3 linked regions of the Arabidopsis thaliana genome follow. The protein of the gene in region 1 interacts with the protein of each later gene in a pairwise test. Each region holds a gene or a part of one and is shown in the gene's direction. Other genes may lie near its edges. The genes, in order: MPK1, AT3G63210 and STP2.

Evidence for each region.
Region 2: the proteins of MPK1 (region 1) and AT3G63210 interact in binary tests that used the Arabidopsis thaliana proteins (3 or more experiments, as listed by UniProt).
Region 3: the proteins of MPK1 (region 1) and STP2 interact in binary tests that used the Arabidopsis thaliana proteins (3 or more experiments, as listed by UniProt).

Annotation. Positions count from the first base shown.
Region 1 is NC_003070.9:3,341,520-3,352,479, forward strand, and holds MPK1 (mitogen-activated protein kinase 1), read left to right. Parts: upstream 1-7,562; 5' UTR 7,563-7,799; exon of another isoform or gene 7,800-8,045; 5' UTR 8,046-8,059; coding exon 8,060-8,482; intron 8,483-8,567; coding exon 8,568-9,257; 3' UTR 9,258-9,661; downstream 9,662-10,960. Other genes in the region: AT1G10190 (NEP-interacting protein, putative (DUF239)), read right to left, coding at 2,246-2,611, 2,717-2,860, 2,953-3,006, 3,157-3,309, 3,404-3,622, 3,723-3,815, 3,911-4,072; WLIM1 (GATA type zinc finger transcription factor family protein), read right to left, coding at 5,158-5,364, 5,502-5,591, 5,679-5,722, 5,822-5,918, 6,110-6,244; AT1G10220 (ZCF37), read left to right, coding at 10,640-10,960.
Region 2 is NC_003074.8:23,350,407-23,361,121, reverse strand, and holds AT3G63210 (mediator of aba-regulated dormancy protein (DUF581)), read left to right. Parts: upstream 1-5,641; 5' UTR 5,642-6,215; coding exon 6,216-6,937; intron 6,938-7,017; coding exon of another isoform or gene 7,018-7,033; coding exon 7,034-7,103; coding exon of another isoform or gene 7,104-7,131; 3' UTR 7,132-7,608; downstream 7,609-10,715. Other genes in the region: AT3G63230 (senescence-associated-like protein (DUF581)), read right to left, coding at 784-969, 1,093-1,180, 1,296-1,489; AT3G63220 (Galactose oxidase/kelch repeat superfamily protein), read left to right, coding at 2,524-3,582; AT3G63215 (uncharacterized protein), read right to left, coding at 6,782-6,892, 7,018-7,131. UniProt on the Arabidopsis thaliana protein: May act as an adapter to facilitate the interaction of SnRK1 complex with effector proteins, conferring tissue- and stimulus-type specific differences in the SnRK1 regulation pathway. Involved in seed dormancy control.
Region 3 is NC_003070.9:2,246,567-2,257,350, forward strand, and holds STP2 (sugar transporter 2), read left to right. Parts: upstream 1-8,255; 5' UTR 8,256-8,306; coding exon 8,307-8,439; intron 8,440-8,521; coding exon 8,522-8,841; intron 8,842-9,003; coding exon 9,004-9,630; intron 9,631-9,729; coding exon 9,730-10,146; 3' UTR 10,147-10,284; downstream 10,285-10,784. Other genes in the region: AT1G07300 (josephin protein-like protein), read right to left, coding at 250-439; AT1G07310 (Calcium-dependent lipid-binding (CaLB domain) family protein), read right to left, coding at 1,209-2,267; RPL4 (ribosomal protein L4), read left to right, coding at 2,624-3,455, 3,607-3,623; AT1G07330 (dentin sialophosphoprotein), read left to right, coding at 4,565-5,702, 5,789-6,549, 6,657-7,019. UniProt on the Arabidopsis thaliana protein: Mediates an active uptake of hexoses, probably by sugar/hydrogen symport. Can transport glucose, 3-O-methylglucose, xylose, mannose, fructose and galactose.

The DNA of each region.
Region 1 (10,960 bases):
TCAGTTTTCCTCGGAGTCTCACTGTCTCAGACACGGTTGCCGAAAGAAGCACGATAGTGATGCTTTGGACTCTCTCTGCTCTCAAGACACACAGATTCGTCGGAATTGTAACATTGCTTTTTTTGTACACAAAACGGCATGTAGTGTAATATCTCAAGCCAAAGACGGCACGATGGTTCTTATGGTTTTTGTCATACCTTTTTCGCCATGAAGAAGTAAGTCTACACTATTTCCTAAACTTCTACTACAATTTTAATCTCAAAATCAAAATTTTGTTTAACCACAATTCACAAAACGAAATATCTCGTTGACTTCAGGGTTGACCAATTCATTAAAATTCAAACCTATATGATGACCAATACAAATTGCCTGCTCGAGCTGGAAATAGAGCACAAGAGGTAGTAAAATAAAGAAAAAGAAAGGTTTTGACATTTGATGCTGGTTTTCTCCGGTTCGCTCTTAATTCCTGGGTATTTGATTCGCTTTGTGTTGTTCTCTGCGGTGTTGGATAGTTCGGTTCAAGGATTCTAGGATCCATTGAGTGTTTTAGAAATTCGATTTGGTTCTCTCTTTTTTAAATCCCTTTTTAGTTTTTTCCTTCAAATTAATATATATTGATAATGGGCCTTCCCGACAAAAATTGGGCTTAGCCATGGACATTATAAAACAGACAAAGCAGGTACAAAAAGGATTTTGGTTCTTTTTTGGTCTATTATTATTGGTTCAGATATTTGAATGGAGAACCAAAGTGCTAAACAAGTAAGTAAGTAACACAAGCTGTTAAATTTCTTCACGGGAGTATTTTCTTTTTCGTCACTATAGTAACAAATGTTTTCTCCACACACAAGGCCATTCGGCCCATTCCTATATTTTATGTGTTCCAAAACATATTTTATAAAACCGTTCTTCTATATTTATTAGTAACACTAGTTAATCACCCGCGCTATGCTGCGGTATTTTCAAATTTTTTGTATCGTTTAATTTAAATATAATTTTTAATTATCTAATCATTTACTTATATAATAAGTAATTATTCTTAGTATTAAAATATATTTTTTCTAACAACATTCTCAACAATGCATTATACACACAATTCATAAACAATGTTCGTCTTAAACTAATTAAATAGAGGGTAATATTGGGATTCTCGAAACCTAAGAATTTGATGATTAAACTTCTTACATACTCTTCACCCTCGGCGATTTATTATATAGATATATAACAATATGCAAACTATTCAAACTATTAATTAATCCATGACTACTATACACTCATAATTTGAGTTAAGATTACAGAAAAAAATCTTTTGAGTATGAGAAAACCAATCAAATTATTTTATTGAAAAACATTTAATAACAAAATAAATTTAGTATTAGTACAATTAAATATGTAAAATTAAATAATAAATATATCATTAATCTATAAATTAAAAGTTGAAGAGCTTACATTAATTATTCAGTGGACACATGGCAAATGTTAAAGTGATGATGTGTCAATCATATGGAGAGAATTGGTCAACTTTCATATATATGATTTATCTCACAAAAATACTATTTTTATTTTTACCTTGTTTTTAAATTATAAATTTTTATTATGAAATTTTTAACTCGTCGAGTACATCTCTTATTAGTTAAATATTCTTACATTTTTACAATTGGTTCCAATTATATTTTCTAAAAATATTGGGAAATTGAAAGATTTTAATTATTTTCGGTTTTAACGTGGATTATTGATGTGAATTATTTTTTATTTATTTCTTAATTAAAAACAAATTAAATAATATTAGCTAATCAAAGGTGTTAATTATAATTACACAAATACTCAAAATATATGAGTAACTTTTAAAAGATGTATGATATTCTAGTAATATTCATACTTTTCTATAACATCTAAGTAATTAATTCGTTTTTGTGACTGAATTTTAAATAAAATTCAAGATATAACAAAATGGAGAAGAAAAAGAATAGTAAACAAAAAACGTAGACAACAAAATATTCACACTTATAACTTGGTGAGTGTTACCAAAGTCACTAAGCAATTTTAGATTGTTCACCCTATTTTTACCTTGTTTTGTTTCCAGGAATCAATTATAATCAACGAGGATCTAGTTCGAAATATTTCTTTTAGTACAAACATTTATAATCTTAAAATCCAAAAGAAACGCATGATGACGATATTTATTGTATAATCAAGTCAATGTAATGTTTTATTAATTTTTATTCCACAGAGATGTAATTAATCATATTTAGATATTCCCCGGACCACCGTAAAAGATTATATGACCGGCTTCTGGGTATGCGGGAATATTATAGTCGTCTACAACTTGGTAGCCACGAGTATCGTCCACGAATTTTTCGGTATATGCCACTTTGCGGTCAATGTTATTAAAACCGTCGATTACAGATATCCGTTTGATATATGCATCGTAGCGCATACTAGCATCAAGAAAATATCCATATCCCATTTGAGGACTCGGCTGTGATGCACTATACGCTTCTCCACCCCACTCCACCAAATTTCCAGAGCTTTGATGAAATCTACTCGACGGCCAAAATCCAACTTCCTCTGCAGCATTACCAAATTGCAACCACCAATTTCCATTTATTTGGTCCTGTTACCCGAAAATAATAGGTGAATTTTTTCATTAGTTTAAGAAACACACAAATATGTATGCATAAAATTGTGAATGCTGTGTCATACTCCTAATTATTTAAACCTTGATTAGACCGAAGATTGCATAATGAGTTGTCTTAGCACCACGAACAGACACTGGCAATAATGCCATACCAAGATGAAAATCTTGACGAACGAGTATCATTCCTACGTCGCAGTCATTATTGTAACATGATTTTCCACCTGACTGTTCCATCAATATATACATTTTCTTACTAACATGTATACAAAATATAAAAATTAAAGAAAAAATTTACTAGCATGATATGCGTGACTCACATTTGTATAGACGAAAGTCCGAGGTTGGTCGTCCTTGTACAATGTTGGATTTACCTGAATTAGTACATATAATATGTGTTCATGAAACAATATAATACATATTTTGTTAGTTACTAAAATAAATTAAGTAACTAGAGCTCGTTGACAGGTGCTTTTATCTAGTGCAAGTTGTAGATGGCAAACAAATTAAATCAAATAACTTACAGTAAAACCGGTTTGGAGGAAATCACTTCCAATCTGAATGTGAAGTCGAGAAGCACTGAATTGGTTTGGCCTAACCTTAGGAGCGGTTAAACAAAGTTCCATCGTTGCTCCATTGAACCTCTTGTCTTGGCCAACCGTCCTAGCCACCGCAAACTAATAGCGTTCAATTTCATTCAATAACCAATTCTTATTATCAGTAATCAGTATAAATATATCAAAACATTATTAATTAAAAGAAGCAACGTACATGATGTTGGTTGTCACTATTAGTATCATCAGTGGTAAAATTCCAAGAGCCACGAGGTTTATGATTATCGCCAAATGAGTCGAATCTCAAAAGATCTTCTTTGGTGACTCTTTGTATGGGGACGGTACCAATGGGACAACCCACACCATTCTCCCATAGGTAACCAAAATTGGTATTATTTGTCTTTCTTTCTCTCATTCTTTTCCATATTGGGCGCATCTAAAACATGTCGAACACCATAAATATATTACTGTAGTTTTCTTTTAATGTTTCTAAAAGAATATAAGTATATAGAACTGATATATGAAATTATATATACCTTGTAATGGTATGTGTGATTCTTCATTGAAGGGTGATCAAATGCTGGTTGCTTGAAGAAATCCACACATCCGTATCTTTCTCCATCTATACTCTATCATTACAGCAATATATAAAGAAGTTAACATTTATTACTTAATTGTATAATATATAGAGAACAGTAACATGGTTATGAAGATATATTAAAACCTTGATGATCTTGACAGCAGGTTTGTTGATAGTCCTTAGTCTCTTCTCGATTTCTAAATCTTCAACTTTAGAAAGGCTCTTAGCTTCAACAAAGTCATTGTTATGATTTATAATTATGTTACCAAAGATGCAACACATTAAGAACATCCATATCACTTCCATTTGAATCAACAATAGAGAGAGACGAGAGAGTTATTGATTTTGAAGCATGGAAGATAACCCTTTAATATATAAGGCTGGAGGAGGAACAAAACATTTTTCAATTAATTCAAGACCATTGACCAAAATTTTTGGGGAAAGAGTTTTATGGTAGATTAATCAATTAGCATTGACCAAAAGTAATTAGTGTTTGTTCAACAATTCCTGAGATAAAAATCTGTTAATATTATGAATTAACACATAATACCATTGATTTAAATCATTTTGGTAGATTTACAATAGGGCTAATAAGTATGTCTACTTTCTACTTGTAATTAATTTCATATCATTGTATTATATCTATAGTAGCCATTATTTTCCCGATTTTTCCTTGAAGACAATAACATTAAAACAAAAAATCCATGAATCAATATGTTTTGTTTTTACAAATTCAAGTTCACGAAGTACTTTGCAAAATTTTTGTTAGCCTTCTCCGATTGAGTTTCGGCAAAGGGTTGTTTTCTGTGTTAGTGCGCCTCTTGTGTAGGGGTTTTCGTCGATTGGTCTCCTCCGAGTTGGGACTCATGGGTTTGGTCGTTGGGCCTATTAATGTTATGGGTTGTCTCTCTTGTTTCGGTTTGTTACCCTTATTTGTTTGTTTTATTTTATGTTTTTAATCTATGTTAACATTTGTAAGGAATTAGCCCAATATGTTTACATCTCCATCCTCTATCTTCACGCGACTTCATCATCCTCTCTGCCAAGAGTAACAAATTATCAATAACCTGAATCAACGATGGTAGCAATTGAATCGATCATTTAGCTGAAGCTTAAACTTCACGAAAATTAATTTATATCATATGAACGTAATACATATATATCTCATAAGCAAACATCCATTATTTCTTTGTTTCTCTAGTTTCATTTCAAGAAACCCAATAAAAGAGTGAACAAAGGTCCCAAAAAAAAAAAAACATATTAAAGACCAAAAAGAAAAACACAAACGTAGGAAGAAACAAAACCAATATATGTTATCGATCGATGGAGAAGTAGTGACTCTTTTGATTCTTCGATAGTCAAAATCATCCCAGAGAGATTGAATTGTTTCTTTAAGCAGCGACGACTTTGTCCTTGGCGGCATTCTCTCCTCCTCCTTCGAGCTGGCTCAAGTTTCCTTTCTCCTTGATCAGCTGAATATGATGATGCTTGCAATATAGCTTACCCTCGTGAGCTATGTAATTCGAAGGGCTTATCGTGCAGCCTCCATGTGTACACTTGAAGCAGCTCTTGTGGTACAATGTTCCATTCACCGATACCTACACAAAGTCCACATTATAAGCAATGTTTCAGCTCTGGTTTAAGCCAAGAACAGATCAGATTCGTTATGGAAACAATCTAACAATCTTCTTTGACACAACTTGATTCTGATCAGGAAAGATTTGAGATTGGATACCTTCTCAATTGGATACACGGTTTTGTCGCAACCAACGCATTTCTCTCGTGTTCCACCAAACATATTCGAAACTTTGGTTCCAGCAGGTCTCTGTTAAACTTCTCTCATGTTAAATGTTAAAAAAATTCAAGAACCTCAAAAACAGAAAAAGGGTTTTGTTCTGCTGTCCGAAAGTACCTCTCCCTCCAAAGGCCTATCAGGTTTCCCAATCTTTGGTGTCCCTGTACATATATATGAATCAAACTTTAGATAGATAATTCCAAATTTGAAATCCCCACTCACAAAGCTTTTCACATTTTGATCTGTTTTTGGTAATTTACCTTCGAAGCTTTTCTCAAGACTTCCAGTTCTCTTGAAGTTTTGATCGAAATGTGGTCTGCAGTAGAGAACTCCTTCAAAGGAGTTGTAATTGCTAAGCTGACTCATCAAGAAGAAGAAGAAGAAGAAGAAGAAACAGAACAGTCAAATCTTTAGACCAATCAGTTTCCATAGCCAAAAATTCAAAGATTTCTACTTAATTGATTGGACTTCTTCATCTACATATATATCTACTAGATCTACTTCTGGATTAATGAGAAATCATCACAAACTAGAATCAAAGATCAAACCTTGAGAGTTCCTTTGCAATGGTGACATCGGAAACAAGCTTTGTGGTAGACCCGGTTATCGGCGGTTAACTTGTCGACAAGATAAACTGTTTTGTCACATGCCATGCATTTCTGGGTTGTTCCTGCGAACGCCATTCTTGTAAGAGATCAGACTAAAAGACTCAGGAAAAAAGAAAGAAGCTCAATAGTCTTGAGAGAGAGAGAGAGATAAAGAAGAATAAGATGAAGATGAAAGAAAGAGATTGTCAATTATTGTTGCTTGTTTTAATATGGGGACCAGATATATTGAAAAATGAACATGCTTCTTCTTTTTAAATATTTAAAGTAAAATTCTTTTAGGAAAAATTGAAATTTTTAATAAAATGTCACAAACAAAAAAGTTCAAGATGAGTATCGAATTTTGGATGCAAATTCGAATATTTGGTGTTTCTGACAACCCTAGCATTGTTTTTCGTGGTTGTCTAATCCACAAAACAAGATAAGCGATGAATAAATAAATAATTTGAACGTTAGCAACAAAACTAAAAACTGTACTACAAAAAGAAAAGGTTTCAACGGCATTTTTTGTGTTCTTAATTATTTTTGTCCAAACTTGAAGTAACCCGTCAATATCTGTCTCCTAGATATTTTGCTTATATTTTTTTTACATTAATTCAGTTCTTTTATATCTAGAGTCAGGTAATTATTTAGAGAATGCATGCAGTTGCTTGACAGTGCGTAAGATTTACACAAATTTTTCTCAACAGTGAAGGCAATGCTCAATAGTCAATAACTGTTTGTAAGGAAATAGAACAGGGAAAACCAACTGGAAAGAATCTTTGTCTGGTTTTAGATAATGATTAAAAGCTGTATTGGTTATGTTGAATTAGTTGGAAATCTCTAAATATCTATACACTATTTATTTTCTTTAATACTATATGTTGTGTAGTGTGTATATGAATAATGAAAATATCTGAAACATGCTTTACCATAAAGGCTTTTGATGAGCTGTAGTATTGACATAATTGGTTGAAGAGAATGAGTGATCATAATGATACCTAACATCTTTTATTTAATCAAAAATACCTAACGTTATTTTTATTTGCTACTATAATAGACTCCAACCAATTTATTAGTATCATTTTATACAGTTTCTAACATTTTTGCCACTGCTTAGATTTATGGGCTTTCCCTTTCTGTCTGCATGGGCCTCCTCTCTTATATTAATAATCTGACTTAATGAAAACTTTTAAATCTTTTGTAGTTTATTTTCCTCTAGATGCTAATTTTAGCAAAATGAAAAGATGTGTGATGGAAACGTAAAGTTAAAGCAAAAGAAGATGGTGAATTGGTGATGCAATATTTTAGTCATGTGTCATTGTTTACATTTATGATATATTTTACTTTAAAATACTTTTCTTCATTTTCAATTTTTATAAATCTTCGTAGAACACATATTCACAAATGATGCTACTTTGGTGATCAGTTACTAAAAAATACCGAAATTGATTTTAGAAGATAGAGACGTGAATCTGTTTGCCAATATTAATTGGGCTCAACTTAAGCCCAAATTATATAAGGAAAGACTACCTAGTAACGAACAAGTAGCAGGTCAACTGTCCGAGCGTTGGCCAAATCTCTCTCACTTCCACAGGTTTCTCTCTCCGGCCAAATCTAACCTCCGGGGAACGTCGTTGGTCACTTATCACCGGTTAGAATTTCCTTCCCGCTTTATCCCGTAAACTTTTTTCCCATTGATTCCGATCGTTTATGTTCCTTCACCAAATCGATAAAGTTTGATCTTTTTCCTTTTCACTATTATTAACAGACCAATCTGTTTACACAAGAAATCTACAGTAACTTATCACTTGAAAAGTTTTGATAAATAGTTAGTATAATAATTTGTTAATTGTGTGTGTAAATTTGATTTCTTGATTGTGTGTGAATTGTGATGAAGAGGGAAAACAAAAAATGGCGACTTTGGTTGATCCTCCTAATGGGATAAGGAATGAAGGGAAGCATTACTTCTCAATGTGGCAAACTCTGTTCGAGATCGACACTAAGTACATGCCTATCAAGCCTATTGGTCGTGGAGCTTACGGTGTTGTCTGCTCCTCTGTTAACAGTGACACCAACGAGAAAGTTGCTATCAAGAAGATTCACAATGTTTATGAGAATAGGATCGATGCGTTGAGGACTCTTCGGGAGCTCAAGCTTCTACGCCATCTTCGACATGAGAATGTCATTGCTTTGAAAGATGTCATGATGCCAATTCATAAGATGAGCTTCAAGGATGTTTATCTTGTTTATGAGCTCATGGACACTGATCTCCACCAGATTATCAAGTCTTCTCAAGTTCTTAGTAACGATCATTGCCAATACTTCTTGTTCCAGGTGTGTGGTTGATCCCGTTCATTTACTGTTGGTTCTAGCTTTGCTTTCTCCTGAAATTTTGCTTTGCTTTGTTCTTTTTGTGTAGTTGCTTCGAGGGCTCAAGTATATTCATTCAGCCAATATCCTGCACCGAGATTTGAAACCTGGTAACCTTCTTGTCAACGCAAACTGCGATTTAAAGATATGCGATTTTGGACTAGCGCGTGCGAGCAACACCAAGGGTCAGTTCATGACTGAATATGTTGTGACTCGTTGGTACCGAGCCCCAGAGCTTCTCCTCTGTTGTGACAACTATGGAACATCCATTGATGTTTGGTCTGTTGGTTGCATTTTCGCCGAGCTTCTTGGTAGGAAACCGATATTCCAAGGAACGGAATGTCTTAACCAGCTGAAGCTCATTGTCAACATTCTCGGAAGCCAAAGAGAAGAAGATCTTGAGTTCATAGATAACCCGAAAGCTAAAAGATACATTAGATCACTTCCGTACTCACCTGGGATGTCTTTATCCAGACTTTACCCGGGCGCTCATGTTTTGGCCATCGACCTTCTGCAGAAAATGCTTGTTTTTGATCCGTCAAAGAGGATTAGTGTCTCTGAAGCACTCCAGCATCCATACATGGCGCCTCTATATGACCCGAATGCAAACCCTCCTGCTCAAGTTCCTATCGATCTCGATGTAGATGAGGATTTGAGAGAGGAGATGATAAGAGAAATGATGTGGAATGAGATGCTTCACTACCATCCACAAGCTTCAACCTTAAACACTGAGCTCTGAGCTCAAGTCTTGTTTGTACGGGTAATTTACAGAAAACTTCTTCTTCTTATGTCTGATTGTCATCATAGACTCATAGTGTATATAGTCTTGAAAAATAAGATGAAGACTAACTTATAGTTTAAGCGAATAGTGATGCCATGGAAGCTCTGTTTTATTTAATTACAAGCTTGATGTGTGTCTGTAACATATGTACATAGAGAGAGCTGTTTTTTTTTTTTAATTACAAGTTTGATGTGTGTCTGTAACATATGTACATAGAAAGAGCTGTGTTTTTTTTTTAATTACAAGCTTGATGTGTGTCTGTAACATATGTTCATAGAGAGAGCTGTGTTTCTGTTTCTCTGTTTGTTTGTTGCGTTCTTGCAGAACTTTTAACCCTCTCATGCAATCCAAGCCTTTTGATGAATCAAGTTTTCATATAGTTGTTCTCATATAGCTTAAATCTAAGAATATCAACAATTAAGCATTTTGTTATATGAATATTTGATGATCACACCATGATCATAGGCCTTCGGATTCATAGAAGGGGTAGGCCTTTGCACCGAACCTAACTTTCCAAATCGTAACAAAAACAATGTATTGTTTTTCTTTCAATTTCTTAATGAAGTTCTATAAGATAATTTTGGTGAGTAGTATCAGTACCCTCCTCATTCATTTATCACATGATATGCTTCATTTTTTTGTCAACACATGATATGTTGCTTCTATTGGTTAAAAAGCCTTAAAGGCTAAAAGCTTTTTCTTCTACACCAACTTTCCTTCTCATAATTCATTTTTCTTTTCATAGTATATAAATAACTTGGAGGATTTTCCAATTTTTGTAAACCCATCAGAAATTTAAATTAACAATGAATATTCCAACTATATGTTTATGGTTGAATCACTTTTGTCTTTCTTTCTCCCCAAGTCAAAACTAAGTTAAATTAACAATTAGTCAATTACTTATGATAAACCAAAAAAATATGATTACACCATCATGGAAATTTTTTTGCAGCTTCTTCCGCAAGAAAGTCAATTTGTAAGATCAGCAAAATACATCTGGGATGACGTTTCATTTGGTAGAAACTTATCTTCTATTCGTCCTAAAAGAGAACAAAAAAAGTGTCAACAATACGTGATCTGATCAATTCATCACATTTAATGAGATCTGGTCAAATCACCAATCCATTTGTGTATCTGAAATATTTACAATTAGTTTAAGACAAGTCTCATTATGATAACAATAAAGCCGTCTCTCTTGTCCAAATACTAAATCCTGCCTAACAACTCCTCCGTAACCAAATTCCTTCAAGCTCTCAAATTCTCACAACCTCTCCACACAAAGGACCAGTAACAGAAAAAAAAAAAAGAGGATATTGTTGATTGGACTGAATTGATTTGATATGTTGAGTCCGTTTTCGTCACCTAGGAGATCGAGAAGAGGAAACAAAGAAAGCAAGAATCCTTATTCAAATCAAGGACTTGACAAGTTCTCTGCACTTCTATCTGAGCTCGATGAGAAAAGACAGAGCATTTACGCAAAGAGGCTTGATCCTGATGGACCGCCTCTTGTTCGGTTTGTCTTCACTAGCTCCGGCGAGTGCGTCCCTGTAATGATCAAGACAAAGAGGGCAAGTCAGAAGAAGGATGTTCTAGATGATTTCAAGGTCAAGAAGAAGGACGTTCTAGATGATTTCAAGGTCAAGAATAAGGATGTTCTAGAT
Region 2 (10,715 bases), on another chromosome or scaffold:
ATAATAAGTAAGAGAATCAATTAGCTGTTTTGAGGGGGAATGACGTCGTCTTCTTCTAAATGAATTGCCTCGACCTTTGCTTCTGTTCCAAGTTTCCTGTCAGTAGTAGTAATTAACTACGTCAGCTGAGGTCATTGCCTATCTAATAACAAAGATACGGTCAAACTCTTGTCTTTCTTTTTTTTGGCAACCAATTAAATTCTTGTCTTTCGAGTATTGGCTTTCGTCATACCTCCAAGTAACGGGAAATAACGCCTTGATGATGCTTGCAATTTCCTTTTTTTATGTAAGAATCTATAAATATTCTTCCTTGGTATATTATTTTTACCATATTCAATTCCAGCAAAGAAGGTTTACGTATGGCTGCTGGGCTGCTGGCTACCTTCTCAAGAATTCGAATATCACACGCACGCATTAAACAAACAAATACGGCCACAGAATAAATGTAGAATTACCAACGGTAAGAGATTACCAGCTTTAATATGTTTACTGAAATGTTATTAACCCATTTAAAATTATTTTTAGAAAAAGATAAATGATAATGGGCCCGTTTTTTAATTATGGGCTTACAATACAGGGCCTGTTTTATTCATTGTTGTTGAATCTCCTTGATCTACATAGTCCACAGACAAAGCAAGCCCAAGTCTATTAGAGTATGCCCTAATAAAGTTGCATTCCAAAGCCTCTCTGAGTTTACGAGACTGCCGAAACCCAAAAGTGTAAACGCCAAAGACAAACTTTTTTGATTAATAAAAAAGATATCAGAAGCTGTCATATCCACCCTTAGAAAACACACTTGTACATCAAATTGGTTATGCAAAGAAGACTAAAAAAGGAGAATCCCAAATAACCAAAGAGAAAGTTTGATCGACAGATAATAATATGCCGATGCAAACTTGTGAGAGTAGTAAGCCAATTCCCCTTAAAAAACGAGGCAAAAGGCTTAATAGTTGCACACATCCATCTACACTGAACCCCAAATCATCATCAAATTCAAAATCATATATAAAAGCATGATGATGATGATGATGATGATGGTGATGATGAGATCCTATCTAATCCCTCATCTTTGGATGTTCTTCCCTTCTTAACATTTGCTTTCTGTCTCGAGAAATCTCTAAAGACGTCGCATGCCATCTGTTTTGCTCTGCATTGTTTTGAACAGAATGCCCCCAAGTATCTGCCAGATGGTTGCAACAAGGAATTTCACAAATGAAAACCATAGTAACAATACACACAAAGAATCCCTAACAATGATATATCTAAGCAGAGAGGAAAAGAAGCAAAAAACTGACCCGTACATGAAAACGTCCTCGTCATGACGTAGATTCTTCTTGCAGAAACGACATAGCTCAAGGAAGTTAGTGAGCTGAACTTGAGCCTTGTCTTTCTCTGCCGGCAACCAATCCGAAGAACCTACGTACTTTGGATGCTTCTCAGAGAAGCTTGGGGCTCGCGGTCTCTTGCTCGGAATCATTATATTCGCCATCCCTTGAGAGAGGGATTTCGGATTGTAATCGTTTTATAATCGTTTTCATGTTACGATCAAAACTCACAAAGATTTTAAATATAATAGCATATATGTAAATACGATTTTGAGGTAAAAAAGAATGAAAATAACATTTTTGTTTAAAAATTTGATGAAGTTGCCAAAATAGAGATATTAGGATCAGAGAATATCCAAATCGACATAAGTTTGTATTCTTCTAGACTTGGTGTCAATTTCTCTCACATGTGTATGTGTTGATGAAAAGAAAACGTTTTGATATTTTGTGTGGAAAGCAGCAACCCAAAGAAAAACATAAAAAGGCCGGTACGGGGGAGAATCATAAATGATGATTATAAAATCGGTTTAGTAATATCATAAACGTAAAAACGACGACGTAGCTTCTTTATTAAAACCTTGTTCTCTCCTTGCTCTTGTTGTTCCTTAACCTCGATTTGATTTGATTTGATTCAATTGTCGTCGTCCGGCAAAATCACAAGCTAACTTGTTTCTCCCGAGAGATATCTATCATCACAATCTCCTTCCTTCGTGTTCATCAATCTCCCGCCGCGCTTCAGGTAAAATTACCTCCAAATCTGTTGTTGGTTTATTATGCTAATCTAATCTAATTCTTAGCGTGCGACTTCTTCTTCTTCTTTGTGTTCCCTTTGATTTGTCTCTCTTTCGTAATCGTCGCCGGTGTCTCAGTTTCCGCTTTTGCTTTGCATTGGATTCGATTAAATGCTTTCGTCGGAGCCCAATCTTGATTCTCTCTCTCGCCTCAAGTTTTTAGGGTTTCTTTAAATCCAATTTCATCGATTATTTGCTGTGTGATGCGGCGGTGTCTTTTGAAATCGATTATAATGCTGTGTGATGCAGCTTCGAGAGAAGAATTTATTAGGTCTTACGGTGAAATAAGTTACTTCACCCAAAATCTTCACTTTACACGCTTCTCAGCTTTTTTGGTCAATTTTGGCATATTTGTATTCAAAGATTGGGCATTTGCAATTGCTTGTATCTGATGATCAATCTCATAAATGTGTTACAGACAAGAAACAATGTCTGGGCTGCTGGATGGAATCCCCGAAGCAGTGGCTCTGAGATGCCTGGCTCATGTGCCTTTACACCTTCATCCCAATTTAGAACTCGTCTCTCGCTCCTGGCGAGCTGCTATCCGCAGTCATGAGCTCTTCAGAGTCCGTAAAGAGCTCCGATCTTCTGAGCATCTCCTCTGCGTCTGTGCTTTCGATCCTGAGAACATCTGGCAAGTCTACAGTCCCAACTGTGATCGCTGGCTCACCCTCCCTCTCCTTCCTTCTCGTATCCGCCACCTTGCCCATTTCGGTGCTGTCACTACTGCCGGCATGCTCTTTGTCTTAGGCGGTGGCAGCGACGCTGTCAGCCCTGTTACCGGGGATCACGACGGTACCTTTGCTACTGACCAGGTCTGGTCTTACGACTTTGTACAGAGACAGTGGACTCCTCGCGCTTCAATGCTCGTGCCTCGTGCTATGTTCGCCTGCTGCGTTCTTCAAGGGAAGATTGTTGTTGCTGGCGGATTCACCACTTGCAGGAAATCCATATCTGGAGCGGAGATGTATGATCCTGAGAATGACGTCTGGACATCCATCCCAGATCTCCACCAGACTCATAACTCTGCCTGCTCGGGTCTAGTGGTAAACGGGAAAGTCCACGTCTTGCACAAAGGCTTGTCCACGGTGCAGGTTCTTGAGAGCGTTAAACTCGGGTGGGATGTCAAAGACTATGGCTGGCCGCAAGGTCCAATGGTGGTCGTTGAGGACGTGCTTTACGTGATGAGCCATGGGCTGGTGTTCAAGCAAGAAGGTGACACGTGGAAGATGGTTGCATCGGCCTCAGAGTTTAAGCGGAGGATCGGAATGGCGATGACGAGTTTGAGTGATGAGGTTTTGATCGTAGGAGGAGTGATCGGACCTGATAGGCTCAATTGGGACATCAAGCCCTTGTCAGATGTCGACGCTTTGACAGTTGGGAATGATCGTCCGGCCTGGAGGAGTGTGGCGCCGATGACAAGGTGTCGTGGGACGATCCTTGGCTGCACGCAGTTGACAATCTGATGGATGGGAATGTGGCTTCATTATGACGTCTTTCAGTTCTTTTTTGTTTTGTATTTTCTTCCTGTTTGTTAACTGTTGTGAGCATTATTGTTTTTAAATCTTCTTTGAGAAATGAAAATAAACGAATAGCAGCTATGTCTTGAGAAAATGTCATCAAAGCCTGGTTATTGTCTATAAACGAATAGCAGATTTATGTCTTGAGAAAATATCATTTATGAGTCTGGTGAAAAAAAAAAAAAAAAAATAGGTCTATTGATTGGGCTATATGTGGGAATGATATCAGGTTGGGTTTGGACAGGTTGCATAAGTTATTTTGTGTTGGGCCTTAAACAATCTGAAAGAGCAATATGGGTTTGAACATGGAGATATTTGGTCATTGAACAGAAAAACAAAATTGTGGTATTCAAGCTCTAAGGAGTATTTTGTAGTGTATAAGAGTAATGATTCGGATTTAAGACATGTTGACAAAGAAGCAATGATTTAAGAAAATGGACCTCTCATTATCTTGCTCATTTGCTTTCTTTATCTTTGGTAATTAGGGTGATATGACTATATCCTTGATAAACACAATATATCGGTGCCACTTTCGAATTAATAATAACCATGATTAAAGATGGCGAGTCATCAAAGAAATCATGAAATGGAAAGAAATATAAAAATTTCAGTATCGAATCAAATGAATGATTAGTGCTGATTCCACTCCAATTATATTTTATAACCTCTACGTCAGGTGGTTTAGAAGGAAATCAATCTATCAAGAGTCACGTCTATGGATTGGGAGTCAAAACATATACGTATGCTTCTGGTAGTAGTCGTAGTGATTAAGGGATCAAAGTTGTTAGACTGAATGGGTTACAAACACAATTACGGAATCGATGGACACACTCATTACATTAAAAAGAAATAGCACATTCAATGGCATATATGGATGAGTAGTCGCTATTTGTTTCTTCTTATTTGTAAGAAAATTAATCAGATGGATATTCACAAAATTAGATTTATCCGAAAGAAAAAAAAAAAAAAAAAGAGAAACCCAATTGAGGCAAGAAGAGACCTTGAGGCATGAAAACAAGACACAAATACACAAAATTTCCTTGGCTAAACAAAACATAGAAAATAAAAGCTTGAATCGACAGGGGGAGAAGAAAAGGCCAATATGATCACAACGTCATAGAAATAGCGAAAACCGTAGAGGAGGAGGAGGAGAGGACCTACACACTCCTGTCCACATCCTTTTAGCCCCACCGTGGGTCTATCACTAATTCCTTCCTCTATCGTATTATATCCGAATACGTTACTTTTCTTTCCCTACTAGGCTACCAAGTAATATTTATGTTTTCTTTTGCGTTGATTATTTGTAAGTGAAGTTATGATTATACATAATCTTGCAACTTGAAACTCTTTTTGTTTTTTCTTGAATCTTGGTATGAATCAGAAGTTGACGAGCTTAAACAATGAAAATGCGATAGTTAGATGGGATTCGAGAAAAACAAGATCAACAACAATAAAAGTGGTTCGACGAGTTATATAACTTTTTGGGTCAAATAAGTGATTATTATTATATAATTTGTCTTGTAATGGAGTAAAACGCATCAAGACCATTCAATCAAACGTTTACTAGTAGACAAACACACGTGGCGCTTATCTAGAACTTAATTATTGGATTAAGCAAAGCAGGTGCAACTGTGGACCCCCCTCTGATTACATTTGTTTTTTATCCACAAACTGTTTATAAAATATTTAGTAGTATAGATTAACATGTACATTATTCACTGATTATTGTTCCTACATTTTTAAATAACGTCACTGATTCTTTGATTAATAAAACAAGAAACCCAAATGAAAGTGAATTATGATTTGAGAAAGACAAACGAAATAATGACAAAATGCCGTATTATATAATAATGGATACAAATTGTAAGAAATAAATAACTCACAGTTTTTTTTACAAAAATGAAAAATAGTAGTATAAAATAAAAGGAGAGCCTGTGTTTCAGAGGCCCAAACATCAATGCACAAATAATGAATGTATCGCCGTTCAAGTGTATACCTAATAAACTAAATAAAAGTTTGTACATGCAACAAAAATAAAGAGAGAGTACAAATTCGATAATCTTGCAAAAGATGTTTCCAATCTTTTATCGTCGACCCAAAATGTAGTATGTTGTTGTTAAAATACACGACGACAAAAAAAAGAGAGTACGATACACATTCAATCATATCCGGTCCCTAATATGAATAATGGATCGAAAATAATTGAGATCTCTATGTGTTAATAAATGTAAGGGGTAAATCCGTAAAGTTGCATGCATTTCTTGGTTAAATCTACAACGTCCCGTCTCTCGAGATCACTCTCTCTCTCTCGCTCTTTGGAAGGAATAAAGAAGAGAGGAAAGAGATAAGTGAAAGCAACTTTTAATCTGATTTTTGCGAGTGAGGAGAGGATCATCATTTCATAGGAGTGAGAGACCCCATTAATACCAGAAGCAGTCAGAGTTTCTCAATAATTGTACCAAATTCTCTCTATTCTTCTTCTCTTTCATTTTAGATATTTTCTCTTACGCAGACTCATTGCTTTCCTCTCTCCATGGAAGCTACTGAGTTATGATCCTTACCCTCACCGGTCTTTAACTATGCTTAGAAACAAACCTAGAGCAGCCGTGACGACTAAGAAACAAACATCTCTGTTAATGGCTGATCAACCTCCACCTCCAAAGCCTAACACTTGCCACTGCTCACCATCTCTCTTTAGCTCTCCCAAGTTTAGGTTTTTCACTTCTAAGATGATGATGACTCCCTTTGACTCTGATTTCTCACTCGTTAGCCCTACGTCTATACTCGAAGCTAACCCATCCATCTTCTCCTCCAAAAACCCTAAACCCGTTTCCTATTTCGAGCCAACTATCCCTAATCCCCAGCGTTTTCACTCTCCAGACGTCTTTGGCCTAGCCGATCTCGTGAAAGACGGAGACAGTAACAGAGACCACTCTAGAAAACCTGTCAACAAGATGGTCCTTTTCGGGTCAAAGCTCAGAGTCCAGATCCCATCATCAGCTGATTTTGGAACTAAAACCGGCATCAGATATCCTCCTTGTCAACTTAGTCCTTGTGTCCAAACGAAGGTCTTAGCAGTGAGCGAGATTGACCAGACGGAGGACTACACGCGCGTCATCTCTCACGGTCCTAACCCAACCATCACTCATATCTTCGACAACTCTGTTTTCGTGGAGGCTACTCCTTGCTCTGTTCCTTTACCCCAACCAGCCATGGAGACCAAGAGCACCGAGAGTTTTCTAAGCCGTTGCTTCACCTGCAAGAAGAATCTTGACCAGAAACAGGACATCTACATATACAGGTTCGTACCTCCACAATCTTTTATCTATGTATTTGACTTTAATCAGATCATAGAGTGGTTCCAAAACTAAACTTAATCACAATGGTTGTGGTGCAGGGGAGAGAAAGGTTTTTGCAGCAGCGAGTGCAGGTACCAGGAGATGCTTCTTGATCAAATGGAGACCTAGCTAGCACTCCTTCTCCATCTCTTTTCATTTTTATTGATTTTGTCACAGCATCATCTACTTTTGTATTATTCTTTTAGTTCTCTGATGCTTCTTCTCTTTCTTTCTTTTTTTGGGTGGGGGTATTTGTATTTCTAGTCATAACCTTTCTCGCCTGCAGATATGTGAAAGATAGAGAGAGAGTTGATAACTTTTTTCTTTGTGTCATGAGAGTGAGTGACTCGGAGGGCTCAATAATATCATAAACTTGCAGAATACTGCCATCTGAATCAGAAAATATCAAAAGCATCAGTCTTTTCCATAACCTAACATTCGTCGTGGCTCTATGCGGTCTTGTAGAGGGAAAATGTTATTGCTATAAGGCCATTTGCTTTTTGATTTAATTTTGTTAACTTTGACAGCGCCAAGTTACAACAATATATCAAGTTTTGTTACCGTTTACCTCAGATTCTGAACTCAGACTCATTTTTCAGTCGAGAAAGGTTTCTGGGAAGCCATTGAACTCGTGTTTTTATCCTGTGAAATGAGTCTGATTTGGTGTTTACAAGTAAGTATATAATAACTCTAATCGCAATCAAACCAAACCAGATCAAACCATAGATGCAGGGGAGGGGATTTTGAGTGGTTAAATATCGATGGGCTATATCATGCATAATTAGGCCGGTCCCTAATAATACGGGCCAGATATGGGCCGTTTCTAATAGGGTCCGCAAGTAATGAGGTTAGAGTCCCAGGGATGATTGCATGTCTCGGTGGCGTGCCCAATTTGCAAGACAGATAACTAAATGTTGAGGACCCTCATCACTTTTTTTTTTTTGGAATAGACTCGTAAATTTAATATCAGAGCAGCTAGAAGGCCCAATCTCACGGAACCATTTAATTGTAAAAACAAAGTGTGAAGTTGTGTCAGTATCATGTTTAAGTTTATTATTCGAATCAGCCAGTACCTTAATATATGCAACATGGATGTTGGAGTAGATGTTAAGACTAATGAGAGGAAGGTCGTATATACTAGATATAGCCATATAGGAGATACCAAAATTAATCTGGTAATGTGTTCAGACTCTGAGTCTAATGTCAGCTTTCTGCATACTCTATAATAATCATGCATGATAGTATTTGTTGTGAATCAAGTGATTTATGAAGAATGAACAATTGAAGATACACATATGAAGAAACAAAGCTGTCAGTCATAAAGTAAAATAAATAAAATGTACTGTCCCTTTGGGTTTCCCGTGACACACATAGTAGAAATTTATAAGGAATCATTTGTAATAATGAATCTTTTGTTTTGGTAAATCATTTGTTGTAAGAAAAATGTTACAAAAAAAAAAGAAGAGGAAGAGATCTATCAATAGAAAAGTTGGGCCGAATGGTGGTGGAGGTTTCCGCCAGAGGTTCTCGTCCGTATTATGTTCATTGTCGTCGCTATGCGACAAAAAACTATTTTTATGTAACAAACAGTGTAACACACAAGTTGCCTTCATTTGTAAAGAAAAATAAAAAAGGATTTGAAGAAGACAGACAAGAAGATCTTAGCAAAATCCATTACATTTGCCCCTGACTTCACTTTTATATTACAGATTCGACTTCCTTTCTTTTATTTTATTTAAACACCATTTTAAGCAAACAAAAATAAAAAAGCAAAACTTATGACAAGTACAAAAACCCACACGTGTGCGGTCAGGTCTATTATACACATGACGGTGCCGATATTTCCTTCCTCTTCTTTTATTTTGTCAACCACTTGTATTTTTCTCTTTTATAAGTTTTAGATTATAAGCATATGTACAATTTTTTGCCAAAAAAAAAAAAAAAAAAAAGCATATGTACTATTTAAAATATAGCAGGTTATTTACTAATCAGTTACACAGCAAAAATATAGTTAAGTTCGTGATTGTGATTAAATTAATACCTTAACAATTTCAAAACTGAAATTTGTATGACTTATGCATTGATTTTAAAAACAACACGATTATTTTGCTGCATATACATATAGTAGAAATCAATTATTGTACGTTCACATTCAACAAAAAAAGTAGTTCGATTAATAAATAATATATGGACGTTCTTTCATTATTATATGTTCTATAACTCGCATTATTGGATCCATCAAACATTCGACTTTATATTTGAAATTAGTTGTTGGCTGGTTGACTCGTATTTCTTTTTCATACTCTCTCTACTGTATTTGTTGTTCGTTGATTTACTACTTACTTATACATCAAATGCTTGGATCACTTGTACAAATAAATCAATCTGCCATACTCGTATATTGTAACGGATAAATTCAAATATTTATATCTTGCAACAGTTGAATACTTTTTCTTTTTCATCGGCTTCATTTTTTTGTTCACTATTGTTTTCTTTATATTAATTGAAGAAGGGCCACAAACATTATACTTTATTTATTTGGGGCTTCTTAAATCTCATCATAGCCGATTTTGGGATTAACTAAGCACATCATAAAGCTAACATATAATCACTATTGTTATTATTTAATAAAGAAATAAAAACAAACGAGAATCTTTTCATCTTTGACGTTTTTGAATCTCTCAATCGCCGCCAAAATGATCCGTTATGTACTTATACAACAACGCTGCAAAACGTTATTTCTAAAACATTTGTACTTGGATAATTGGATTCTGTACACATCTATATTCTTTTTCTTCTTATACGCATTATCTCATATATATAACGTGATATTATATAAAACAATATATTATGACAAACTCTTAATTATTTTACTTTTTCCATATAAATATTAGTACTTGATTATTCTTTGTATGGTCGATATACTGAATATCGAAATTTGCATTGAACACTATTAGCAATCTTTATATTAATGTTATTTTTTATTTATTTGATATTTGAAATAAAAAGAAAGATATTTAATCACATCATATAGTTGGAGTTATTAATTACACAAGGACGCCACATTTGCATTTAACGGGGGCTACGTGCTTCGACGCATTGATGAGTAATTTAAACAGAAACACAACTTTAGGCTTATTAATCACATTTTAATGAATTATTGTTTTTAATCGTTTTATAATATAGAAATTATTTTCATTTTTCATTATGATTGTTGTATGCTATCTTCAAATATCATCCCGCCTAGGATCGTTATAATGGCTTTGCAAAAACACGAATTTTTAAAAGAAAGAAAAGTGCATGGTCGAGCTTTAGGTTAATTTATTTTATCACTTTGTATGCAGAACGCATAATTGTGATATAAAAATAATATTGAATAAAGCGTGGTATTGGTGGGCGAATATGGTCCCAAATAATTTCGTGTTCTGTTCTTATATTTTCTATTTCTGCATATTTTTTTATCACTCCCTTTTAATTTATCATATTATTTACTTTGTCAAATGAAAAAAAACAAGACAAAAATATTCAATTATCCAACCTATCACCATATTGATGACTTTAGCCGTACCATAGAACTCCAAGGAAATTCTCGAGACTTGATTACTGCCACTTCTATTTTTATTTAGCCTTTCTTCTTTGAAGAACAATAAAATTGATAATGTCTTATATATTACCCTGTATGTGGAATTCAATCACAGCTATGAATTTAGAAGACTTTATAGGTTGCTTATATATTTCTTA
Region 3 (10,784 bases), 1.1 Mb from region 1:
TAGTTAAAGTGGATCTACAAATTTATAAAGAGAACTATGCCCAAGAGCAAAAAGAGAAGACTAGGTTTAGTTTTTTCTATTTTTCTTTACGGTCCACAGAGGGAATAAACCCTTTGTTTAAGTGAAGAAAAAGGTTAAGCAACCATTTGGTATCATTCTTCTTTGATGATCACTCATGTGTGCACATAAGTTACATAACAATCTAAAAAAGTTTCTTTTTGACTCCAGGAGAGGCCAATATAATCTTACCTTTATGGATGCAGATTCCTTTCATGAGTCTGCGGCTACAATAAAAAGGAGGGATCAAGGAAAGAACAAAAAAACAAGTTAATGGTGGGTACAAGAATATGAGAAAGCATATAATAAACCAGGGAGTGTCAGGACATAAATAGAAGATCACACAATCTGGAGAATAGAGTGATTTTACATGTGAAAACATTCCATTGAGAACAGAACAATAATACCTGCATGATTGTCAGTGATTAGATGCAAATAGCATGAGATTGACTGATATGTATAGCAGGTTACCAAAATGCCAAAAGGGAAAAGAATGCAATAGCAAAACTGCTCTGTCTCATCGTTATAACAAGAGCACAATAGACTTAGCACCAACCGTGTACATACCATTTTACCCAAAACGATCAGAGAGAACATCTTTTCTGCACTGTGATGAGCATGATTCAAGACACATTAATCCAAACGCTCAATGAATATGGAGATCACTGGTTCCAAACGAAAATCACACATTGGTATCATCAAACATGAAATAAGAACCAAAGTCTTTAACCAGCCTGCAAAAATATTCGGCAGAATCGCAGGATATAGGACTGTTCATGTCTGAGACAGAGCATACTACCATACCTAATCAGAGCATGGTTCAAACAATAAATCAACAGTAAAGTGATTCACATTAGAACATTAACCCTAAGAACCCAATAGCTTGATTCAAGAAACTGAATGAAGGAAAGAAATGAGAGATGTTTTAGAAACATGTACAAAGGTACAGAAGGGGTAACACCGAATATCAGCTAGAAAGAAGCAACAAATCAATTCACAAACGAGACATACATATAGACATAACATATACTTCACCAAATTCATATTTTGTCATCAGCCATTTCCTGGTGTTCTAACACCAACAAATCTGATGATAAGTAAAGCCTTAGAAACGCCGCACACTTGTGAAATTCAACAACTTTTTGCCATCCTCAACATTCACGGCGATAATCACGGCCATAGCTGTAGTTTGGCCTAGCTCCGAAATCACTCTCAGACCTCTCTGCAGCAGCTCTCTCTTCCTCTAAGCTCAATCCACCCATCGTCTTCTGCAACTGCCTGTGATCATAAGGAGAGTAATCGACTGGTGCCGATGGACCATTAGGCACTCCGTAGCTAGACAATCGCGAGCCCATAGGTGGAGCTTGTGGCTTGTACTCGGTAACCAGAAAGGCATCAACGGGTGCTGAGGGCCCACTAGGCGGTGGACCGTAGTTAGAAAACCGAGGAGGAGCTAAAGGAGGCTGCTTGTGATCAATCGATGAGAAGGCATCAACGGGAGCAGATGGGCCACTTGGGAGGCCGTAATTGGAGGCACGATCGTACATTGAACGTGGTGGAGGAGGCGGATAATAATACCCGGAATAGTAGTGATCAGTGAATGCGTAAGGAGACGGAGACGGTGACTGTGAGAATTCTCTGTAGTCACGCTGAGGAGATGGAGCGGTGATCGGTGCTTGAGGAGGAGGAGGAGGAGGAGGGCTAGGGGAGTAATAATGGTTTCCTTGAGGGGCAGAATAGTAATCTAGTGGTTGAGATTGAGGACGTGGCGGAGGATGCTGCGGTGGAGGGATTGGTCTGTCTTTGATCGCGAGCTTCAAACGAATCTTCCCCTGTGGTCGACCCGATGGACGAACCAGCTCGAGCGAGTTGATCAATTCCGGAATCATTGACCCGTCCGAGTCAATCAAACGAGCTAGAGGAAACCTAACCGATCCGACGAGGGTTTTCGCCAGATCCGAAGAATTGGAATGAAAAACCTCGATGTTGAGGACCGATTCGTGGACAGATCGGGTGAGAGGAAGAGTAATCCGCTCGTTCCACACCGGTTTGATGGAGGAGGAATCATCGGAGCGGGTGGAGAGAGGGTGGTCTTGGTCAAGATACAGAACAACGTAGGGTTTCAGGTCACCGTTACGCCAGTTGACATTCTTCAGGTGCTTGGCAGAGACGACGGTGACAACCAGGTCGAGTGGCTCCGACGAAGTCATGAATACGGTGCGTTTCAAGACGAGACGGTGGCTTACGCGGTGGTCTTAGCTAACGTGCGCTCGTATCTCAAATATCTGTATCAAAGTCTCAGCTATCATCAACTATCATCGTTTTATCACAGAGTTTTATGTCTCAAAAAACCTGCTGGCTATATAAGAGGCTTTTGACTTTTGGAGTTTGACTCTTTCTTACTAGCGACAGCTGGAGTTATTCATGAACAGGATAGTTATATCCTTATGTCCAAACAGATGCATAAATTCTCACCAAGCACAAGATAGGCATTTGAAGAGTGGATAACACTTTCTCAGTCTTTCTTCTTCTTCTTCGTTGTGATAGGTCAGGTCAGGGAACAACAATGGCTTCTTCTGCAACAGCACCAAATTCGCTATCTTTCTTCTCATCTTCTCTCTTTTTATCCTCCTCTCACCAAATCCCTAAAACCTACATTTCCGTTTCAAAACTCGGCTCCGGCAGAGTCTCGAAGCCGCTTTCTGTCTCTTCCCAGCTAGCGACTCTACCGATTCTATCATTCGAAGGAGAGAAGGTCGGAGAGACGTATCTAGACCTCAAAGCGGCGCCGGAGGATACCGCGCGTGCCGTTGTGCACCGAGCCATCGTGACGGACCTGAATAACAAGCGGCGAGGTACTGCTTCCACACTGACTCGCGGTGAAGTTCGTGGTGGTGGAATTAAACCTTACTCACAGAAGAAAACTGGCCACGCGAGGCGTGGATCTCAGAGAACACCGTTACGTCCCGGTGGAGGTGTGGTGTTTGGGCCAAGACCTAAGGATTGGTCAATTAAAATCAATAGGAAGGAGAAGAAGCTAGCGATATCTACGGCGTTATCGAGTGCGGCATCTGCGGAAGGTGGTGCGATAGTGGTGGAGGAATTTGGGGAGAAGTTTGAGAAGCCCAAGACTAAAGATTTCTTAGCTGCGATGCAAAGGTGGGGATTGGATCCCAAGGAGAAAGCTATGTTCTTGATGATTGATGTGGATGAGAATGTGGCGAAATCGAGTAGGAACATTGGAACCTTGAGGATGTTGACGCCTAGGACACTGAATCTGTTTGATATTTTGAACGCTGATAAGCTTGTTCTGACTCCTGCGGCTGTGGAGTTCTTGAATGCGAGGTACGGTGTTGATGCGGTGGAGGAAGAAGATGACGATGAAGATGAGACGGAAGGTTAGTGTTTTCTTGAAAGGAACTGGCTTGTTGTCGAAATTTGATGTTTTGAATGTTGTGTTTGATCGTTTTTGTCTGGTTTTAATTTCTTGAAGAGGTAGAAATATGATGTGTTAATATGGAAAAGTAATTATTTGTTTGTGTTATGAAGGGTCAGAGGAAGCTTAAGAATGAGTAGCACCCGTAGTTCCAATTGCTTCAAGTGTGGCTTAATTATGAGTTTAATCTTGAGTACATCTTCTCACTCTCCTTGATGAGGTCTTCTCTTTCCTTTTTGTGTCACAACAAGAGAAATGTGTATTTACTTTTAGAGTTTTTCTTAAGAGATCATCCTCAATTTCTTGTCATACTGATTTTGTGTCCAACTCTCAATGAAGGAGTAAGGAGTGAAATTAGATATCATGAGTAACGTTGATTGTGTGTGTATCAGTTAAGATTGAGCAACAAAGATTGACTTTAGTCATCAAGTTAACAAGAAAGAGTGGCTATTATAAGCTTTAAGCGTTGATGTTCATCTTGGTTTTGAAAATCATGAATAGTCTCACACAAATCTGTTAACAACTTGCTAAAAAAAAGGATTAGCTAGAAAACTTAGGAAGTGTCAATAGTGTATGTTATTTACAGACATTTGATGGGTCTTGGTGGGCTTAAGAAGATAGCCCAATCTTTTGAAGAAAGAGATATGAGATGCAAAATCCATGAACTTTAAGGGTCAATTTCTGAACCAGTAAAAAATGTGGTTAAAAGTGTAAGAAAACAAGAATCTTTGGAAACATGTGTAAGAAAGCAACTAATTTAACTCCCGCCCTCTCTTACCAGTTTTCTATTTTGTCTTCTCCGTCCTTACCGTGTGTTCTGAAAACTGAAAAAGAACCAAAACGAAAATCTAAAAAAACCCTTGAAAAATCTATTTTTTATTGACTGGTTATTGTTTCAAATGAAAGCTTGACCTCTCTCTTATTGATCAATTTTCGCTTCTTCAATTAAACCATATTTGTTTTTCCCTTTCAAGCATTTTGATTCTCTAGGACAAAACACAAACCGCCATAGACAGAATGCTTTGGGTTATTATCTCTCAAAGTGTTCTGAGAATTTGAACTGTTTAAAACATGGGAATCGATGCCAAAGATGTCGGAACTCTGTTCTGGAAAATTCTCAGATTTTCCACGAACATCGTTTATAGAAACGTAAGGAATCACCCAGTTGTTTCTGGTGTTTCTGCAATTATCTTCCTCCTATACATTTTTCTTCCACGCCTTTTTTATTTCGTCCTTTACTCTTCTCCGTTAATCGCATGCTCTGTGTTTTATCTTCGGAATCATCCAAGTTTTAAGCTTTTGCATATCAAAACGGATAATTGGTTTTCACCATTTTCCCAAAAGAGATCTGAGGAGGAAGAAACAAGGAAGGCTGACTTAAAGCACCAACGAAGTGTTCGACGAAACGCTAGAAGGAAAGTTGAAGAGGTTGGGAAAGATTGGGACTCTTCTCAGGCTAGTGAAGATGAGAGAGACAGAGTCATTTTAACAACTCTCTATGGTGAAATTCCCAATACTGCAAAATCTCCCAAACTTCAGAAATTCAAGAAAGATGGAGCCTTTCTTGTGTCTGAAGGTTTCTCCTTTGAGCCTAGCTTAGATGAAGAAACTCTTTCAACCACCGGGAATGTTTCCGTTGTGGATCCATCGGAGAGGTTGACTAGTGGTGGTGGCGAAACCGAGATCGAGTGTTCATCGTCATCAGAAGGCGAAGAAGAAGAAGAAACTACACGTGAAGACAAAAAGATTGTAGCTTGGACAGAGGATGATCAAAAGAATTTGATGGATTTAGGAAACTCTGAGATGGAACGTAACAAGAGGTTAGAGCATTTGATTACTAGAAGAAGAATGAGGAGATTAGTCCGACTTGCCGCTGAGAGTAGCTTAATGGATATGGAAGTTCCTCCAGTCTGTGTTGGACGGAACTATTTCGGTTTGGATCAAGAAAACTATATAGTTGATGGTCTTCAAATGCCTGAATCTGCACCTTCTGTGTTATTACCAACTAAAAACCCTTTTGATATTCCTTATGATCCACAAGAAGAGAAGCCTAACCTCTCAGGAGATAGTTTTCAGCAAGAGTTTGCAGCCAACCCTAATGATATCTTCTTCTGCCGCCATGAAAGCTTTTGTCGCAGAGTCTTTCCATTGGACAATCAGCTTGACACGAAATGGGAACCGTGGAAAAAGAAGTCAATACCACAACAAGGTACATCCTCTTGTCATTCTGAAAAATGTTGTAGCTTACAAAGTAAATGATTCTAAGTTCTACAATTCTGATCCTTGCTCATGTAGGTAGCAATGATGGATTGGTTGGGGAGAAACATCCTGTAATGAAAGGAAAAGATCTAACAAGAGGAGAAGTAAATGATATGGAGTCAGAACACATGACAGAGATTGTTGTTAGTGATTCAAACTCATTGCTTTCTCCTGAAGACAGGGAAATGAATTCTGATGTCTCAAATCAAGCATATTTTTCTGGAACTTCTGGGAAAGGAAATGGTGATCTTCGTGTTGAAAACCCTTTAGTTGGTTTAGTTCCTAGAAACACTGGTTCGCTTTCGAGTTCTTTAGCAGCGGAAAGGCAAAGATACGTGGAGCATTTTGGTTATAGCTCAAAAAAAGGTCATAAGTTATCTGTAGAATCTGATCTTCAAGTTGAGGTTTCTGAAATTGGATCACCTCCCACTACAGTTGATGGGAATAATTCTTCTGATGAAGAAAAATCACGTATTGTCAACGAATCAGACATTGGGAAGGAGACGGGATTTAGTGGTGAGGAGAGCATTGTGGATAGAACTGAAGAAACTCAAATGTTACCAGTGGAGAAAGTTGATAAAGATTTAAATGAAACGATTTCTAAGGTCTCTCCAGAAACTTATGTAGCCAAACAAGTTGAGGGTCTGTCTGATGGTACTGATATCAACGGAAGATCTGAGGAAGAAGAGAGCTCAAAATCCGGACGCTTTCCACTGGAAAATTCAGACAAAGGATTCTATATACATGAAGAGTCAACAGTTCCTCACATCAATGAAGTTATTTCGAGAAGAGAAGAGGTTATATAGTTCTTGTTCTTGTCAGGTTTTATGGAAATATGATTGCTACTTGCAATGTGTTTCTCAAAATGTTGAATTTGAATATATTCCTTGTACCGTTATGACAGGAACGTGTCCAAAACTTGACTGATGAGATGAAGATAAATGATGACTCTGATGAACCTGAAGCCTTTGAAAGAAGAACAAATCAAGAACCCCAAGAACATTTTGGGGGAAATGATGGAGACCAATCAACTCAAGAGTTGCAAGAACTTGTGGAACCTGAAGTTTCAAATGTGAACAATGTCACATCAGACGAGTCTGCTACTTCCCCAAGATCAGTGTTACCAGACATGTTGTTATCTTTAGACCAGACTTATACTCTGACTTCTGAGAGTTTGGAACATACATTAGATAGTCAACCTCCGCCAGTGATTCCATATCCGGAATCTCCACAGAATCAATCAGGTGTTGATGGGAACAGTAGATGAAGTGTGCTCAGAGATCAGTTTCAATGACAGTACTTGAACTGAAATGTACCTTTAACAAAATGATGACGTGTGTTTTCTAAAACAAGGATAGTCTGAGGCAAGTGAGAAGCTAGAGAAGAAGTTTCTTCTTTAGATGCCATTGTCCTTTTGTTGAACACTCAACAAATTCAGGCTTATGCAGTGTAGAGGATTTAGGTTCCCTAGCTAAATTTTATGTATATGCTAAAGTTGAACATTAATGTGTGGAATTTGATTTAGTGAAGTGATCATCATTTTGTTTGATGATAACTGAGATATAATTTATGTTGTCTTTTAAAAAGTTTAATGTATTATAGTATGGGAAATCTGATAATGATTGGTTATTTCTAAATTTTAGTAAATTACTTTCTCTTTTAGTTTAAAATAAATAAAGGATCGTTGATTATCAACAAGATAAAATTTTTTACAACAACAACAACTCTTCTCCTGATTATGAAGCTCTAAATATTTTTTAATATTAATGACCAATTAATTTTACCTTTTAATATAAGTGGTCACCTTTTTTTTTTAAAACCGTATATCAACTTATCTGCGTTTTTCTCGTATTCTCTCATGGGATTAATATTTGCTTTTAAATGTGGATAAATGATGTCCAAAAAAACATTTGGATAAAATTTTATCCATGCTGAAAAATGTATAACAAGAATTTTTTTTTTTTTTTTAATAACAAATACTTATAATTCTTACGATTATATAGGTGTAGATTATTATTCTTTTTCATGCAATGACCATGCGGATAATTTTGTCTAAATTTTATCCAAAACTTTTTTCACACTCATTTCTTATAGGAAAAATATTCTACCCAGACTTGCTTGTGTAATTATATGAATGTTAAAAATATTACATAATCAAAAGCCAAGCTCTGAGATCATATATGTCGTATAAAAAATTATTATTGTGTCGATCAAACGTCATTATCTTTTACTTAAAAAAAAAAGAGTTTTTATTTCTTAATCTCGATATTGATCTAAACGATTTAATTGTTTATTTATTTAAATGATAATATCTTAATATCAAAACACATATATCTTATCAGTAATTATCCACATTTATTCTCAGATAAAACAGGATCGAGTCAGAAGAAAAATTCGTTCAAAAAGATTCAGTTGTTAAATCTTAGTTTATCCAAAACCCTCACACTCATCTATAAAAGAAACCCCATCTCCTCTCTTAGGCATTTGAGTTTTATTTACGATCCTCAATACCACATAGTCAGAAATATTAAAAGAAGCTAAGAGATCAACAACAATGGCTGTTGGTTCGATGAATGTCGAAGAAGGCACTAAAGCTTTTCCTGCGAAGCTGACAGGTCAAGTCTTTCTTTGCTGTGTCATTGCTGCTGTTGGTGGTCTCATGTTTGGTTACGACATCGGAATCTCAGGTTTGTTCTTCTATTGGTTTTTGTTTGTTAGGGTTTGACTGTTTTTTCAGTGATATCAATTAATGGTGATCAAAATTTGCAGGAGGTGTAACGAGTATGGACACTTTCTTGTTAGATTTTTTCCCACACGTGTACGAGAAGAAACACAGAGTACACGAAAACAACTACTGCAAATTCGATGACCAGCTCTTGCAGTTGTTCACTTCCTCACTCTACTTGGCTGGAATCTTCGCTAGCTTTATTTCTTCCTATGTTTCTAGGGCTTTTGGAAGAAAACCCACAATCATGCTCGCCTCCATCTTCTTCCTCGTCGGTGCTATCCTCAACTTATCTGCCCAAGAACTCGGCATGTTGATCGGTGGTCGTATTCTTCTCGGCTTTGGTATCGGTTTCGGTAACCAGGTATCATGTCAAACCCTCAAAACGTTTTTCTATCTCAGTGGATTCCTCTGTTTTCATCTAGGGTTCCTCTGTTTTCACCTAGGGTTTCCTCTGTTTTTATGCCTTAACTCATCGTGTTTTGTTTTGTTTTGTTTATTAACATTGAAAGCAATACTTTTGCAGACCGTTCCATTGTTCATCTCAGAGATTGCTCCGGCGAGATACAGAGGAGGACTAAACGTCATGTTCCAGTTTCTCATCACCATTGGAATCTTAGCAGCAAGTTATGTGAACTACTTAACTTCCACGTTGAAAAACGGCTGGAGATATTCTCTCGGTGGTGCTGCTGTCCCCGCTTTAATCCTCTTGATAGGATCCTTCTTTATCCACGAGACTCCGGCTAGTCTCATCGAGCGCGGTAAAGACGAAAAGGGGAAGCAAGTCCTGAGGAAGATCAGAGGCATTGAAGATATTGAGCTCGAGTTCAATGAGATCAAATACGCAACAGAGGTAGCGACAAAGGTGAAAAGCCCATTCAAAGAACTCTTCACCAAGAGTGAGAACAGACCACCATTGGTGTGTGGAACGTTACTTCAGTTCTTTCAACAGTTCACCGGTATCAACGTGGTTATGTTCTACGCTCCAGTTTTGTTCCAGACGATGGGTAGTGGTGACAACGCTTCTCTGATCTCTACTGTTGTCACCAATGGTGTGAACGCAATCGCTACAGTTATCTCTCTTTTAGTGGTTGATTTCGCCGGTAGAAGGTGTCTTCTGATGGAAGGAGCTCTCCAGATGACCGCTACACAGGTTAGTTTTTTTTTTTTTTTTTTTGCTTGTGTCACATGGTACACATATTCTTACTTGGATAACAAGCTAACTTGTATTTTTTTTGATCATCTTACGCAGATGACAATTGGAGGCATTCTCTTAGCTCACTTGAAGCTAGTTGGTCCTATTACTGGCCATGCCGTGCCGCTGATTGTATTGATCCTCATCTGCGTATACGTGTCTGGATTTGCATGGTCTTGGGGTCCATTGGGATGGCTTGTTCCGTCTGAGATCTACCCTCTTGAAGTGAGAAATGCTGGTTACTTCTGTGCGGTGGCGATGAACATGGTCTGCACTTTCATCATTGGACAGTTCTTCTTGTCTGCTCTCTGCAGATTCAGATCATTATTGTTCTTCTTCTTCGGAATAATGAACATTATCATGGGACTATTTGTCGTGTTTTTTCTTCCCGAAACCAAAGGTGTTCCTATTGAGGAAATGGCCGAGAAGCGTTGGAAAACGCACCCGCGTTGGAAGAAATATTTCAAAGACTAGATTTCATTTTCTTTCTTTCTTTTTGTTCCCCAAGGTCCCTAGTTAATAACTAGTAATTTGAACCTTTTCTAATTTTTCTAGCTAGGGTTTGATTTTTATTTTCTGCTATTTTTTTAAGTTTGTAGTTCGAATTGTTAAAGATTCAGTTGGATATGTTTATCAATCAGTTGGAGAAGTTTAATATTTTCAGTTCTGGTATTCAAATAATCAGGCACAATTATAGTTTGGGGATTGAATTGTCTAAGCAAACGACAATATTCTCGAACTTCAGTTTTTAAGATTCCTAATAAAGTGGGACAAATCACTAAGAGATTTGTGCATATCAATATAATCTATATTAACTATTCAAAAACAACTATATATATCACTAATAAAATCATGTAATTTTTAGTTTTAAAGTTAAATTTACTCTTGTTGAAAAGAAGAAGAAGTTAAATTTACTCTTTATACCACTTACACATAGGTGTATGAAATACAAAATATAACTAGAAAATAATTCAGAGGGAAAGAAACGTAAATTTGTTTTACATATAATTAAGTAAAATGTTGAAAAACAGAAAAAGGTTAAGACAATTTTTTATTGTTTTGATAATTTGAGCTAAGACAAAGTAAAAAAAAAAATTAAAACAAAATTTTGT